Linked DNA regions of Rhinolophus ferrumequinum. The protein of the gene in region 2 purifies or fractionates together with the protein of the main gene of each other region. This does not show direct contact. Links are inferred from orthologs where the notes say so. Each region holds a gene or a part of one and is shown on either strand. Other genes may lie near its edges.

Region 1 (8,404 bases), on a different chromosome or scaffold from region 2:
ACATAACCCACATCAGTGAAAACTTCTTGGGGTCCTCAATAATTTTTAACAGTGTAAAAAGGTCCTGAAACCCAAAAAACTGATAACTGCTGATTTATATCTAATCTACATGTGTACTCTCTCTCCATCTTTTAGGTTATAAAATTACAGTTTTTAATAGGTCAAAAATGTTTGACTATCAGAAATCACATTTCAACCTCATATCATCTATTTACTATCTATTATCAAATGTAAGATATCACTGTTTGTAAGCTGCAGTATTAAGAATCAGTAAGAGAAAAAAAATAATAAAAGAGAAAAAAAAGAGAAAAAAAATCAGTAAGAATGGAAAAACGTAGTGTCAATTATAATCTCTAGATACCATTGGCTATAAAACCCATTCCACTTTTGGAAATGTTCAAATGGTGAAAAAATATGCATGAATGAAATACGATAGACATTGCCGTCTCTCTAAATAACTTCTATATAGTCTTCCATCCATTCAACAAATATTTATTGGCCACCTACTCAGTGCCAGGCGCTGCTCCCAGCACTACACAGGGAAAGGTAGGTACCCTTTCATCTTTACAACCACACCATGTGGGAGGCCCTATTATGATGCCTGTTTTAGAACTGAGCAAGCTAAGGCCCAGAGAGGTTGTCAGGGTCACACAGCAAGAAAAGGGCAGAACTCGGTTTCTGAATTCAGGCAGTCTGGTTCCAGACCAGTGTTCTGGATCATGCTATAAAACAGCAGTGACCAAAACAGACTGAAATGCCTGCCCTCATGGAGCTGACAGTTCAGCAGGAAGTGAACAAGATAAGGAAAATACGAAGCACGGTGGATAGTGATTTCTCTTTCTGTGTGTATTTACTCCTTTCATCCACTGTCTTCCGTCCTCTCTCCTTCAATACTTCACCTGCTCCCTGTCCCTGCTGGGGTCTGCTGGCACTGCGGGTGCTGCTCCAGCTCTGGCTGGAGCCAACTTTCTTACGAGGCAGTGGGTCCTTTCTCATCCCCTGTCTGTGAGCATCTGCAGGTCCCAAGGTCCAGAGAGAAAATGGACACTCTGAGTCAGGGACAGGTGGCAACCAACCCAGCTCTGAGTTCTAGTGGAGAAACTCTCCCCTCCCTCTTTCATAGGTCTGTCCACGTAGCAATTTTCTCTCAGGTCTCTGAATCTCCCTGGTGGTTCTGTGTGTGTCTGTCCATCGCCTTCCTTGTCACCGTACCTCTATACCCCTTCCCTCCCCCTCCCCATGTTTATCTCCTCCTGCCCTGTCTTTCCCTTTCCCACTGTCTCTCCTCCCCACATTTTTTTCCTTTCTCTCACCCTCTGTCTCTCTCTACCCCACTCCCCTCCCATCTCCCCATTTCTCTTTCTCCCTCAGCACACCTTTGTATCCATCTGCTTCCTTGCCTCAGTATCACGCTCCTCAGAAATCTCACGTTGAAATTGGATTCCCAGCTACTCCCCTCCCCTATGCACTGGTCTCCCCCATGGTTGGCTGCTTCTGCCCCCTCCCCAGATTAAGGGAAGAGATGAAGGGAAAAGGTGATGGATTTAGGGGGATCTACAGAGAATTCCTAAATTCCTCTGCAACCCCCCTCCCATTTTTCCAACTCAGTCGGACTCTCTTGTATCACAGAGGAAGACAGACTGGGACCCCAGGGCCCTCCTTTTCTGGCTACCTACCCACCCACCCGGAAGTCCTCCTTGAGGTCTGATCTCTAGAACTCCAGCTGCCCTAATCCACCCTAGGCTTTCCCACGCCCCGAGGCTGGGATGAACCCCCAGTGTCCGGGTCTGAGCCGGATTTCCCTGCCAGGGCGGGGCTGAGATTGGGGGGAAAGCCCTCAGGGGACCTGCACCCCCACCCCAGGAGGCTGAAATTTCTCGCCTTTCATTTCCTTATTGTCTCTGGAGGAGGGTGTGACGACGGATCACAGGGAGGCAATGTGAAGCCAGAAGCCTAGCTTCTAGCCCCAGTCTCTACCCAGGACCTAAAGAAGCCCCCAACACTCCAGGCGGCTTCAGGGTTTCCCTCTCTGAAGTGGGGGAGCAGTTGGACCAGCTGATCTGTGGGAACTGGGGGCCAACAGGGCCACCCCAGGGTGATACCTTTCAATTTCCTTCCACACGGGGAGCCAGCCTGGGGGTGTTAATATCACCCCAGCAGGAAGGCGTGGAAGGCCAGAAGCACTTTGGGGGACCTCACAGTTCTCAGTAGCTGAGTAAGTGTGAATGTTTCTCTGTACCTTGTTCTGACCCAAGGGAAGGAGGTGGCTCAGATGATGGAAAGGCTGGGGAGACCCTCAGACAGTATTTCCATCTCCGGCCCCCCATGTCAACTCTTCCAAAATATGCCCCAAAATGCTGATCATCTCTAGACTGTCTCTCAATTTCTGACACAATGTGTCCCCTAAACTTCAGAGTGTGCCCCACATAAGGATTCCTCCATCCTAGATCTCCACATTTACTGATAAGGTGTGTCCCCCAAAACACTGATTTGTAGTTGGTTCCCTTAAATCATATTCCCAGACTCTGAACTGTCTGGAGGTTCAGCTGGGATGCCCCAATACCTGGGAGCCTTCACCTCCAACCTGGTCTCTGCCTTCTGACACCTCCAGCTGCCGATCTCCACCTCTCAACACTTCCAATCCCCCCCTCCCTGGTCGGCCTGCCCCACCCCACGTGCAGCTCACACCTTCACAGCCCCAGGACTGGCCCCTCCCAGGCACCATGCCAAGCCCCGCAGGCCCGGGGATCCGAGAGACCCACATAACAGCATCAAACCCCAGACCCAGGACTCAGGCACCTGGGAGCCCCTGTAACCCTCAGATCTCAGCCTCCTTGTAAAACTCAGACATTCAAGTTCCCCTGCCTCAAGTCCACAGTCCCCTTCCAGGTTAGGAATTTAAGTGTCCAGATCCCCCCTCCACTTCACACTGTTGAGTATAGAGACAGTGAGCTAAGGGGGAGTCCTTGCAGCAAGAGGAATGGGAGTTAGACCAGGGGAAGGACTTTCTGCCTGCTGGGGTGAGGGAAGTAAGATATACCCTGCCCCCTACTCCAGGGTGGTCTAGTCAGAGATGGGGCTAGTGAGGACATTAGCAATTACTGGAGATTACTGGAAGGAGGGTAGGGAGGTGTGAAATCTGAAACCTTCTAGCCTCCAACAGGAGAATCCCTGCTGAGGGTCTCTAACAATTAAAGCAGTGAAGTTCAGTTGGAAGGGGTGAGGGTCAGGAGTAGGGGTGGGGGTGGGGAATGGAAATCGACCCCTCCGCTGCTCTCCCGCTTCCAACTCCGATCTCATCTGGGCCCCCATCTATCTGAACCCCAACTCTAAACCACCTGTTATTCCAGACTACCAAAACTAACCTCCATCTCTTATCCTTGAGCACTAACCCTTATTTCTGACCTCATCTTAGATCGCACCCTGATCCTTATCCCTGAACCCCAATGTCCTAACCCTGAGCTCTCACCTCAGATTTCCCTTAATGGTGACCTCCCTCTGCCATCTCTTAGTTCCTGTCTTTCCCCCCAAATTTGAAGCCATTTCCTAATCCCCCAGCTCTGTCTCCTATTCTGGGAGGTCTGATTCCTAGCTTTGGTTTGTTCATTTTAATCCCTTGGATTTGGGGTCACCAACACCCAGCTCTCACGTTTAAGCTATGACCTGATCCTTACTTAAGTTTTCCTGACTCCCATTTATCGCTCACTCCGACTAGCCTGGGGTAACCGCACTCCCATGCCTGGCCCCGTCCCTGAATCCCACACCTGGTCTCCGTGTCTCTAGTTCCTTTACTCCTCAACTCTAGTTGGAGCCCCCATTCGAGCCCATACCCCAATCCTTGCCCTCATTTAAGTCCGCACCCTGATTCCTACCCCACACTTCCCGCTCCGCCATCCCCGAGGACACACCTCGCCGGCCTCCGGGTAGTAGCTCCACTCCGCCAGGTCATGGGCCTCCATCTTCACGGAGCCCAGCATCCCCCGGGCCTGCGCCCCCACCTGCCCCTGCTCCGGCCCGGGGGGAACCGAGCGCTAAGGATCTCTCAGCCGGCACGGCCCGAGTTCCAACCGGCGCCCGCCCGTCCGACTGACTGCCCAGGGTCCCAGCCGTCCCAGGCGCCGCGGGAGGCGTCCACGCTTTATAGTCGGGACACCCCCCCCCCGCCCTCGCCCGCCCCGGGCTCCCCTCCCGCCTCTCCCTGGGCGGTGCGCTCGGACTGGGGCGCCCCCTGCGGGATTGCGAGGAGATAGACCTCAGGCGCCGGGAGCCGCAGCCCGGGGACGTAAGGGCTGGAGATGGCTGAAGAGTGAGGGAGCTACTGCTGGGAGACACTGCTGATACTAAGGTCCCCGACATCAGAACTCTGGGGCCCTCCACCCCAGGGGCCCCAGACATCATCTTGACAGTAGAGGGCGAATAGCTAGAACCCAGCACGACCGCCGCGGAAGAAAGGGGCCTCAGAGCGCAGTGAACTCCTTGGATCCAGTCTGCCTCTATAAGGACCGGTAGGAGAGCCTCGAAACCACAGTCCCATTAGGTGGACTGGAATACTGAAGCTTCCGACAGCTATTAATAGAAATGCTCCGAACTGTCCAAAAGGTCAGGACCAAAGGTGGAGGAAATTGGGGCTTCTGTTCAGACTCCACTAGGGCAACAGACCACCTCCAAGACCTAGGAGCTTCGCCGCCCGTACTCTCCATTCTCGCTAATACCAGCCGTCCAGGAACTCAACCACCGTGAACTCCGTTTCCCAGAAGTCTCTGTCTCCCTTCCTGTCCCGAGCCTCTGCCAAGGGACTATATTTCCCAGAAGGCACGGCGTTCGAACGCCAGAAATGAAGAGCCACCGGGAGTATTCCGGAAGGCCGCTCGCTGGGCTAGAAATAGGGGTGGGGTCTGCCTACTGCGTGGACTCCATTTCCCGGCGACCCCGTGTGTGCGGCGCGTGCGCAGTGTCACGGCGGCGAGCGGAAGATGGCGGCGGCGGCGGCGTCTGGGAAGAGGCGCTGCTGAGGGGGCGCGAGGGGGACGGAAGCCGGAGCCGCGGTGAGCTGGGGTGGCGTGGGGGCCCGGGGACCAAGGGAGGAAGGACCCTGAAGCGGCAGGAGCGCTGGCAGAGGGATGGGGGCAGAGGAGAAGGGAGCAGTGACGTTTGGTACTCCAGTTTCTTCCCTTGCTCAGGACTCTCCCGTGGGTCCCTAGTGCCCTTAGGGCAAAGTTCCAACGTGGCCCCCAAGGCGCGTCCGTCCCGCGGCCTTGGCTCTGCCTCTGCTCATTCCTCACTTCGAATAGTTGCATTGGTCTTTCGGTTCCTCAAACTCGCCATGCGCCTTCAGGCCTCAGGATTTTTGCACATACTGTCCCCTCTGCCCGCAACATCCTTTTACCCATTCTGCCAGGCTAACTCCCATTCATCTTTCGGGTCTCTGCACCAACGTCACTTCCTCTGCGAAGCCCTCCTTTCCTGCCCTCCATCCCGAAATCCTCCTGTTAAACGCTCTCAGAGGTCCCTGTACCTTCCCTTCATGTCATGTGCCCTCTGATTTGTTATTGTACCTTTGTTTGTTTGACTATTTGATTATGTCTGTCACTGTGAGCTCCACGGAGGCAGGGACTGGGTGTATGTTGTCACTGCTGTGCTCCCAGCACAACGCCGTCACACTGAAGACACCCAGTTAATATTTGGTGAATGAATGAAAGATACTCCTGGGGCCACTGTGTAGATGAGGGGAGTCCTCACGCTCCCAGGTGGGAGGGAGGCAGTGGTACTCCATAAGGAGGACACCGAAAGGAAGGGGAAACAATGACTGTTGGTAATAGCAAAAGATTGCAAGCACCCCACATATTTTCCCCCTTCTTCCACCCCCACCCGGTTTCAAGCCGTTGTTTCTCAGTCTAGTTGTGTAGGACACAGCTCCCTGGCCCATGCTGGTGTTATGAGTCTTGCGCTCCCCCCAGCTGAGGCAGTTGGTCTCCAGTCGTCGGTCGCCTGCTCATGGCAGCTCTCGCCAGCTGCTGGCCACTCACGATGGTCCCCGGCCACTGGCTGCTCATGGCAGCACATGGTAGCCCAGCTCCAGGGAGAGCCGGTGCTCACAGTCTTAGCTGTAAAGGGCGCAGCTCACTGGCCCATGTGGGAATCGAACCGGCGACCTCGGCGTTAGGAGCACGGGTGCTCCAACCACCTGAGCCACTGGGCCGGACCCCAAACATTCTTTAGTAGAAAGACTGGCAGAAAAAAACTGATAACATCCACATGACAAAATACTATGCAACTGTAAAAAGGAACAAGGAAAATCTCTTTACACTGATATGGAGAATGGGCTCCAGCATACATTAAGTGAAAACAGATGAAAAGGAAGATGGTGTTTAATATATGCTCTTTTTATAAAAGAAAGGGAAACATGTATATACCTTACAAAGAAAATAAAAGTAGAGGGGGCAGTCAGTTAGCTCGGTTGGTTAGAGCGCAGTGCTCTTAACAACAAGTTTGCTGGTTCGATACCCACACGTATTACCATCATGAAAAAAAGGTTCACATGAAAAGCTTCATTATGTTCTGATGGGGGACAGCAGTGTGCTGGTTGTTGGGTGGCCATGAGTTGCATGAACAGATGTGGGGTCTATTAATAGAAGACCTGGTCTTATTTTCGGGGAAACACAGTAGGTAGTGTATAGATGATAATAAATGCCATGGAGAAAAATGAAACAACACAGATGGGGAGAGAAAGGAAATTGAGATTTGAAATAGGGTGGTCAAAGAAGACCTCACTGCCAAGGTAGGTGAGCTGAGACCTGAAGGAAATGTGGAGGGAGAGAGTTGTGCCAATATCTGGGAAGAGGAGTATTCCAGGCAGAAGGAAGAGAACCCCAAAGGTTTTGAGGAAGGGGCACGCTTGGCATATTCAGGGGACAAGGAGGCCAGAGTAGCTGGAGCAGAGAGAGCAGAGAGGAGCTGTGGGCAGAGATAGAAGGGACCAAATCATGTAAGGTCTTCTAGGCATTGGTGAGGACATTGGCTTTGACGCCAAGCAAGATGTGGGGGTGACAGGCAGCAGGGATACTAGGAAAGAGGATGCTGGATAGTCATTCGTCCTGCAGACACCCTCAAATTTTTGTTAACAGTTTATGTAGTATCATTCCGATCTTTTCTCATGTCTATAAAAATGCAGCTGTACTTATCTCATGTTTACTGTGTGTCCTAACTCAAGGTAGTCCTTCCTGCGAGGCAAGCACTGTGACCACCTCTGTCTCACAGAAGACAAAACTGACTCAGGTCGCTCTGTGTAGACATACGCAAACTTAACAAAAATGGATTGAATTGCACATGTTCTGTGATGTATTATTATAGCAGGCTGTGGGGGACATATTTTTACGATGATATTGCACTGAGAGCCACTCATTTCTTTTTTTGCCGTTTCCTTCCTCTTCTGCTTTTTGGTTTATCCTTTCAGTTTCTTTTCTTCTTCCTTTTTTTAAACATATACACATTTCCCTTTCTTTTGTAAAAAGGGAGCATACAGTAAACATTGTCTTCTACTTTGTTTGTTTTCACTGAATATATGCTGGAGCCCACCGATCATAAGTGTATAGAGATTTTCCTCATTCCTCCTTTTTCCCTCCCTCATTCCTTTTCGCAGCTGCATAGTGTTTTATGGTGTAGCTCTATCATACTTTTTCAGCCAGTCTTCCTCTTTGAGAACCCTTTGGGTGCTAATAGTCTTTTGCTCCTTAGTCCTGTGATTGAGATCCTTCTTATTTCATAGTTGTGCCACTGTGACTTTGGGACAGAGCCCAAAAGTTTTCCCTCCCCACCCCACCCCTTTTTGAAAACAACTCCATAGCATTTCAGAAAATGGCTGAAACATAATTTATTCAACTGAGCCTTTTCTGATGTATTGAGTACTTACTGTGAGCAGGACTCTGTGACTGGTGTGTTTTAGAAAGCTTGCTCTGGTGTCCAGTCCAGAGTACAGCCCAGATGAAGAGTCAGGAAGGCACTGCGGCCAGTGCCTTAGCTGCTGTGTGTTCATTTGTTCCGTCATTCAGCACATGTTTGTGGTCAGCCCGCTACGTATGAAGTACTGGAGGTGAGTCTTGGTGCTCCACGAGGTACTGCCTCTGACCTGAGAGACATCGATCATCCCCAAATTACAACCCCTGTGTACACTTACAATCTGAGACAGACCCTGAAGTGGAGAGGGGCTTCAGTAAACCCAACAAGGACAGGACAGGCTGGAAAAGACGTTGGAGTCCTTTGTGGATGGTGGGATGAAACTCCCAGCCCACGCACAGGCTCCCAGAGCTTGATCTATCTTTTTCTTCCCCAGGGAGTACTAGACAGCAGCCATGGCAGGCAGCAGCGGGGACAGCGTCACTCGCCGGAGCGTGGCATCACAGTTTTT
Region 2 (7,397 bases):
CCACGCTGCTCATCTGCCTCTGCTCGGTTTGCGGCCTGCTACTTCTCATCTGCACTGCCTGCAGCACTGCTGCCCGTTACATCATCCAGGCCTTCCTGGGCATGGCCATGGGCGCGCTCACCGGAGACGCCCTCCTGCACTTGATGCCCAAGGTGGGCCCCAGCCCCTAGGTCTTCCCTGCCCCACCCCCCAAGGCGCTCCATTGCCCCGCCCTCCTGTGGCCCTTCCGCCAGCCCTGACCCCTCCCTTTCATCTGTGGCGGGGAGAACCTGGGGCACCCAGCCCAGCGCCCCCTGCCCCTCCAAGGTTCTAGGGCTGCACCAGCACGGGGGACACAGCGAGCATGGAATGAACTGCCACAGCCCTCAGCACGTCTGGCGCCTGGTGGTCGTGCTCGGCGGCCTGTATGCCTTCTTCCTGTTCGAGAAACTTGTCGATCTCTTGCTGCCCCTGGACCCAGAGGTCAGGCACATGAGGGCTGGACAGGGTGGGTGGACGCGGAGGAGGCATGGAGGGCCCTGAGCCGCTGTCCCGCAGGACCCAAAGGACGAGCCTCGCGGCCACGGTGGCCACAGCCATGGCGTGTCCCTACAGTTAGCACCCAGGGAACTCCGGCCGCCCAAGCAGCCCCACGAAGGCTCCCGCGCAGACCTGGTGAGCTGCCCCGCTGGGACCTCCCGTCCCACACGGAGCCCCCTCCACATGGACCCTTTCCAGAGCCTACACTTCCAGCCCCCACCCCAGCGCTTCCGTCCTGCTGGCCTCTGAGGCTGATCTGGGACCCCAGCACCTCCCTCCTCCCCCCCTCCCCCGCCCCGGGGGTTCATCCACCGGAAACCCCTGCAGGTGGCGGAGGAGAGCCCTGAGCTGCTGAGCCCGGAGCCCCGGAGACAGAGCCCTGGTGAGCCCTGGGGGAGCCCCGGAAAGGTTGGGGGCCAGGGGTTCGGCAGCGGCCGTACTGAGGCCGACCCATGCCCGCTGCGCCCGCAGAGCTGAGGCTGCTGCCCTACATGATCACGCTGGGCGACGGCCTGCACAACTTTGCCGACGGGCTGGCGGTGGGCGCCGCCTTCGCGTCCTCCTGGAAGACGGGGCTAGCCACCTCGCTGGCCGTGTTCTGCCACGAGGTGCCCCACGAGCTGGGTGAGCTGCGCGGGGCTGGCCTACTGGGCGGGACCCGCCGGGGATGTGGCGAGCAGAGCGGGGCGGGGCCTGGGCAAGGGGCGGGGGCTGTGGGGGCGGGGCTCTCGGCCTGACACCGTTCCTCCCGCCTCAGGGGACTTCGCCGCCTTGCTGCACGCCGGACTGTCGGTGCCCCGGGCGCTGCTGCTGAACTTGGTGTCGGCGCTCACGGCCTTTGCGGGCCTCTACGTAGCGCTCGCGCTCGGCGTCGGCGAGGAGAGCGAGTCCTGGATCCTGGCGGTCGCCATCGGCCTCTTCCTCTACGTGGCGCTCTGTGACATGGTCAGGCTGGAGGGCGCGGAGGGGGCTGCCGGGGTGGGAAGCTGAGCAAGGACGCTGAGCTCGCCACTGACACAGCTCACCTCCTCAGCTCCCCGCCATGCTCAAGGTGCGAGACCCCCGGCCCTGGCTCCTTTTCCTGGTGCAAAACGTGGGCCTACTGGGCGGCTGGGTCGTCCTGCTGCTGCTGTCGCTGTATGAGGACAACATCACCCTCTGACGGCACCTCCGCCCCACTCTCGGGACCTGACTCCCTCCTGGCCCTGCGCTGTCTCAGCCCTTTGGACCTGAACCTACAGCTGAGTACCTGGAGAGCCCCCAGGCCTCTGAGAGTCTCCCCGCCCCCCATACCCCAGCAACGCAACTTCAATAAAGACATTCCTACCCTTGGAGCCCAGCCTGCTGTTCCTACTGGGAGGGAAGGGTCTCCCACCAAAGAGGAGGAGGAGTGAGGCAGTGCCTGGAGCCCTGACAAGGAGCCAACAGAGCTGCGGTGCTTGGGCTTCCAGGCAGCCAACCCCCGTCTGGCCTATCCTCCAGCCCCTCACCCTCCCACCCAGGCGATTCCACTAACAGCCTCCTTTCACCTCAGTGGGGAAGAGGATCCGCCAGGCGAGCCAACCTCTGCCATCCCACCACCAGCCCTGCCACCTCCCAGCCCCCTTTGCCCACCAGCTGCACCCTACCCTCGGCTGCCCTCCCCAAGACTGTGCTGCAGGGTCTCTGGCTCTCTCTGCACTGACCACCACTCTACCAGACGAGTTCTCATTCATTTGTTAGGGCACTCGCCATTTGCCAGGCTAGTCTCATGGTGCTGTGGGCACTGACTTGTTCAGTTGTCACCGATGCCCTGTGATGTGGGCACCGTGAGTGTCCATCTGACATAGATGCTGATGTTATTTAGTGTTTGCCTGGCTGCCTTCTCTAGCACATACTCATGGTTCTGGCAACAGGGACTTCTTAGGACTTTTGAAGGGGGTTGATGTGGCGCAGGGATCCCACACCTGCCTGGGCATCCCAGTGGTGCCTTCGTGTGTTGCTCCACAGTTCAGACGCGGAGCCTTATTGCTGATGTGAGCAAGTGGGCCAATTTGGGTGAAACACATTTATATGCTATTTTCTTGGGTGTGACCATACTTTCTCATTTTTTTTTTCACTCTTCTTCCACCTCCCCTCTCCTCACTCCGGTTCACTCGGGTTCTAGCCGTTGTTTCTCAGTCTAGTTGTATAGGACACAGCTCCCTGGCCCATGCTGGTATTACGAGCCTTGAGCTCCCCCTGGCTGAGGCAGTTGGTCGCCAGTCGTTGGTCGGCTGCTCACAGAAGCTCACGGCAGCTCTCGCACCGGCAGCTCTCGCACCGGCTGCCAGCTGCTCACAATGGCTTCCAGCCACTCCTGGTAGCACACAGTAGCCCACAGCAGCACACAGCAGCCCATGGCAACCGAAGATGGCTGTCGGCCACTCACGATGGCCACCGGCCGCTCATGGCAGCACACAGCAGCTCACCGCAACCTCCGGTTGCTCAACCTCCAGCAGCCCAGCTCCACAGAGAGCTGTTCACAATCGTAGCTGTAGAGGATGCAACTCAACTGGCGCATGTGGGAATTGAACCCGCGACCTCGGCCTTAGGTCTTAGGAGCGCAGTGCTCTAACCACTTGAGGCACCAGGCCAGTCCTCGTTTTCTTATGATTCCTTTTCTAAGGCCCAGGCCTGTCTCAGTGTGTTGGGCTCGTCTCTGCCAAGGGAGGTGAGGTCCTGGCTCCGGGAACCTTGAGGTGGGCAACTGTGCCAGGCCCGAGGAGGGCGCAAGATCTAGATAAAAATCGCTGCCCTGGGGGGAGGGGCTCACGTGGTAGAGGGGAGGACTGGAAGACACCTGGCCACTGAAGCGAGGAGGGTTGTGCGCCTGCAGTGCCTGTATTTTGGTGGTGGTAGGGGTGGTGTCGCTCTGCGGAGAGAACGCTGAGCAGTGACAGGAGGCAGCATCTGTCCCTGAAGCTTTCACAGCCCGGGACTGGTCCAGCCTCCTCCACACTGGCGGCACTTGCCCGGCGTCCTTCCCTCCCAGCCCCACACTTGGAGGCTCAGGCTCTCCTGGGTCACCCGAACCTCAGCTCCTGGCACAGCGCCTCTTACAAGGGGGCTTGGTGGAGGAGACTCGTCTCTTCTTACGGGGAGATTCTCCACGTGGACCCCATCCGGGGTCAGGCAGAGGACCCAGAGGTCTCTGAGCCGCCGGACGCCCGCCGTACTTCCAGCCTAGCCCCTCGTTCCCCAAGCTGTGGGGCCCAGGATCTCGGGGCTCTGCACGCGGAGACGCGAAACCGCTCGGCTACCCGCAGCCGCCGAGGGCAGCTATCGCCCCCCGCAGCTGCTTCGCCATGGCGGCACTGCGCAGGCGCAGGAACCGGAACCTCCGTGCTCAGCTTCCGGGCCCGGCCGGAGCGTGTTCATCGACGTCCCGGTCCCCCGCGAGCAGGTTCCAACTGCCAGGTGGGCGGCGGGCGGCGGGCTGAGGGGATTCGGGCGTGGGAGGCCCCACTCATCCTGTCGCCTTCCGGCCCCGTGCAGCCCGGGCTCGGCGCCATGTACGCCGTGTACAAGCAGGCGCACCCGCCCACCGGCCTGGAGTTCTCCATGTACTGCAACTTCTTCAACAACAGCGAGCGCAACCTCGTGGCGGCCGGGACCTCGCAGCTCTACGTGTACCGCCTGAACCGCGACGCCGAGGTAGGTCCGGGCCGCGCCGGCCTCCGGGCCCCGCCCGCCTCCTGACAGCTCGGTGAGGTGGGCGCCCAGTGGCAGACGGAGAAGCGCGACCGGACACGACCAGTGCTTGTCTCCAGAACCTGTTCTCGCCGCTGCTACATGTTTCCGCCTCCAGTGCGCTCCTGTGGGCATGGAGCCCTGCCCTCGTGCATCTTATTTGCTCTTTGTTTTTCAGCGGTTAAATGATATGAACACCTGCTATGTGTTAGGTAGTAGGAATACGCTGGAGAACAAAACCTGCAGAAAGTTGGGGCAGGGGGCCTTCCCTAAGTACACAGAGGAGGTAATGAAGGAGGCAGTGTGTCCCCAGCTGGCTGACCAGGAGAGCCTCCTGGAGGCCGAGTAGGAGTTTGTCAGGGGAAGAACATTCCTGCCAGAGGGAACACTGGCAGCAGTTTTAGTAAAGTGTGATGAACTCATCAGTAGAGGAAAGAGGATGCTTAGGTTGCTGGAGGCATGAGAGTTAGTCCAGGAAGGCTTCTTGCAAGAGGCAGCTTCTTATCTGTTCATGAAGGGGGAGAAAGACTTAGCCAGGCTCAGGATGAGGAGTGAAGAGTGCTCCAGGCATTAGGAAAAGCCTGTGCACAGGCCAGAAGCAGCTGAGGGTGGGGAGGGCCATGCAAAGTTGGTCTGGGGTGTAGAGTGGAAGAGGAGAGTTAGTCAAGTGAACACGGACAGCTCTTGGAAGGAGATTTGTGCACAGGGAAGAAATGTAGCAGTAACTGGCTGGAGAAGGTTTTGTTTTAAGATGAGCAATACAGTAGCACATTTGTGCACTGAAGGCATTGCGCCCCTGAAGTGGGGCTTGCTGTCCGAAGCTCACTGAGATCTAAGGACGCTTTCTACATCTTTACAAGTTGTAAAAAATTCCAAAGGAGCGTCCTCAACAGACCAGATTGAGTGAAAACCCTGTCAGATATTTGCTCCTTAGTCCTTTCCAGGAAAGTTTGCCAACTCTTGCACGAGAAGGTAAAGCGTGAGGCAGCAAGAGATGGAGAGAGAGCTGGAGGCCAGTCGTTGTGTGGGTGAGAGCATTCAGGACCAGTCTAGTCATCACTGCAGAACAGACTGCCCTGAGGTTTCAAACAGCCTGTTCCTGTGTTTGCACAAGTGTGGGTGGGTTGGGAGTTTGAGCAGGGCACAGCCCAGACCGTGGGGGACACCTGGCCTCTGCTCTGTGAGGTCTGGGAAGAGAACGGAGAAGCTGTGTAGGAGATAGGCAAGTACATGGCCCGGGGCAGGTGTAGCGTGACAGCTAGCAGTGAGAAAGGCCCCTGCGACCTTTACGAGGAAAAAATATATAGCACTTTTTTAAACTTTTAATAAGAGTCCCAAGTTAATAGAAAATACTAGGGGTGCCAAAAAAATGTGTACACATGACTTGTATTCATCTTTTGTTATCGATACATATTGAGTATTATAATTTTAATAATAGTTTTTTTCTTTCTTAAAACGTATATACATTTTTTTTGGCACTCTCTGTATATCATGGTTATACGGGAAGTCTCATTATTGCAGAGATGTCGGCCATTCCCAAATTAATCCATACGTTCAGTGTTCTTTGTCTCAAAGTTACAATAAAGTTTCTCACTAGATTTAGTCATTTGATTCTCAAATTTACATGGAAGAGCCAAAATTTAAGACTATCGAAGACAGTTTTAAAGATGAACAAGGTGGTATACTTGCCCAACAGGGTTATCAAGAGGTGTGTGTGTGTGTGTGTGTGTGTGTGTGTGTTTTCTGTCTGTGTATGTGTGTGTGTGTGTGTGTGTGAGCGTGCACATGCGCACATGCTTTAAAGCTGCATAATTAGCTACATGGAAGACCAATTTAAAATAACGTTTTACTTTTGAACTGTCCTTCTTGTCATGAAATATTCTTTTTATCTCTAGCATATTTTGCCTTTAAGATCCACATTGTCCAATAGTAACGTGGCTACCCCAGCTTTTTTTTGTTGCATGGAATAACTTTAAAATCTGTGTCCTTATATTTAAAGTGACTCAGTAGCAAACAGTGGGGTGTTGTTTGTTTTTTTGGTAGCGTTTGTCTTCTCATTGGATTGTTTGTCTACATGTGATGTGATTTTCTACGCAGTCGGGTCTGAATCACCATCTCACTCTGTGTCTTTCTGTTATTCCTTTATTCTTCCTTTTTCCTTCTTTCTACTTTGTCTTGGATTAATCAGGTATTTTTATTTCATTTTATCTTCTCTGTAGGTTTCTCTTTAGGCATTTTGTGTCATTTTCTAATGAGTTACATTAGCAATTACAGCAGGCCTCTGATTTATGATAGTCTGGTTCAAATGAGTACTTTTGTTCCAAATGACATGAATCCTTGTAAGGCTCTAGCCCTGTGTACCCCCTTATCCTTTGTTTTGTGGTCACATGTTTCACTTCTGTGGGACAGAGCCAGGCAGGTTTGGGGTGCACAGAGCAGCTGTCCAGCCATCCTCTCACCCTGAGTGCTCCCCGTGTTAGGGTGGGCTCCTCAGGAGAATCCTGTGGCCTGGTTGGGGTCCCCGTGTGAGTGTGACTTTGTCCACATTGGGCTGGGGTGTGCATGGCTGTCTCCAGGAGTGCCTGGTCACGTGCTCCCCACGGCAGTGAGGGTTCAGTCAGGGCTGCTGGTGGCAGAGCCAGCCCTGGGTGGTCTTTCCCCATTGTCCCTCCATGAGGTGGAGCCGCCAACAGCAGCAGTGTGGCCCTTCACTGTCTTTCCTCTTCCTCCTCCAGGCTCCAACCAAGAATGACAGGAGCACAGGTGAGCACATGGTGGCCACCCTGGCCATGCCGCTGGGGGCGTGGGTGGCTGGAGCGGGAACCAGACCTATACCCACTGGCCTCTCCCCCAGAGGGGAAGGCCCACCGGGAGCACCGAGAAAAGCTGGAGCTGGTGGCTTCCTTCTCCTTCTTCGGCAACGTCATGTCTATGGCCAGCGTGCAGCTGGCAGGCGCCAAGCGGGATGCCCTGCTGCTGAGCTTCAAGGACGCCAAGGTGGGTGGTGGGCGTCCCACCTTGGAGGGGGACGCAGGTGCGGGAGGCTTGGTGGGGATCCCCGGCACGGCGGTAGGTAGTGGTGGGTGCGATTGTGACTTGCCGTCCCCAGCTGTCAGTGGTGGAGTACGACCCAGGCACGCATGACCTGAAGACGCTGTCTCTGCACT

Evidence for each region.
Region 1: the proteins of CPSF1 (region 2) and SYMPK fractionate together in Homo sapiens (co-fractionation; 5 studies listed by BioGRID and IntAct, with this or other methods). This does not show direct contact. The link is inferred for Rhinolophus ferrumequinum from reciprocal best matches to the Homo sapiens genes CPSF1 and SYMPK.

The regions. Positions count from the first base shown.
Region 1 is NC_046298.1:42,117,685-42,126,088, reverse strand, and holds the start of SYMPK (symplekin), read left to right. Parts: upstream 1-4,931; 5' UTR 4,932-5,045; intron 5,046-8,329; 5' UTR 8,330-8,348; coding exon 8,349-8,404. Other genes in the region: FOXA3 (hepatocyte nuclear factor 3-gamma), read right to left, coding at 3,909-3,977. UniProt on the Homo sapiens protein: Scaffold protein that functions as a component of a multimolecular complex involved in histone mRNA 3'-end processing. Specific component of the tight junction (TJ) plaque, but might not be an exclusively junctional component. May have a house-keeping rule.
Region 2 is NC_046297.1:73,118,811-73,126,207, reverse strand, and holds the start of CPSF1 (cleavage and polyadenylation specificity factor subunit 1), read left to right. Parts: upstream 1-3,907; 5' UTR 3,908-3,957; exon of another isoform or gene 3,958-4,035; 5' UTR 4,036-4,050; coding exon 4,051-4,194; intron 4,195-6,965; coding exon 6,966-6,993; intron 6,994-7,084; coding exon 7,085-7,227; intron 7,228-7,339; coding exon 7,340-7,397. Other genes in the region: SLC39A4 (zinc transporter ZIP4), read left to right, coding at 1-152, 307-462, 538-654, 847-901, 991-1,143, 1,277-1,464, 1,553-1,681. UniProt on the Homo sapiens protein: Component of the cleavage and polyadenylation specificity factor (CPSF) complex that plays a key role in pre-mRNA 3'-end formation, recognizing the AAUAAA signal sequence and interacting with poly(A) polymerase and other factors to bring about cleavage and poly(A) addition.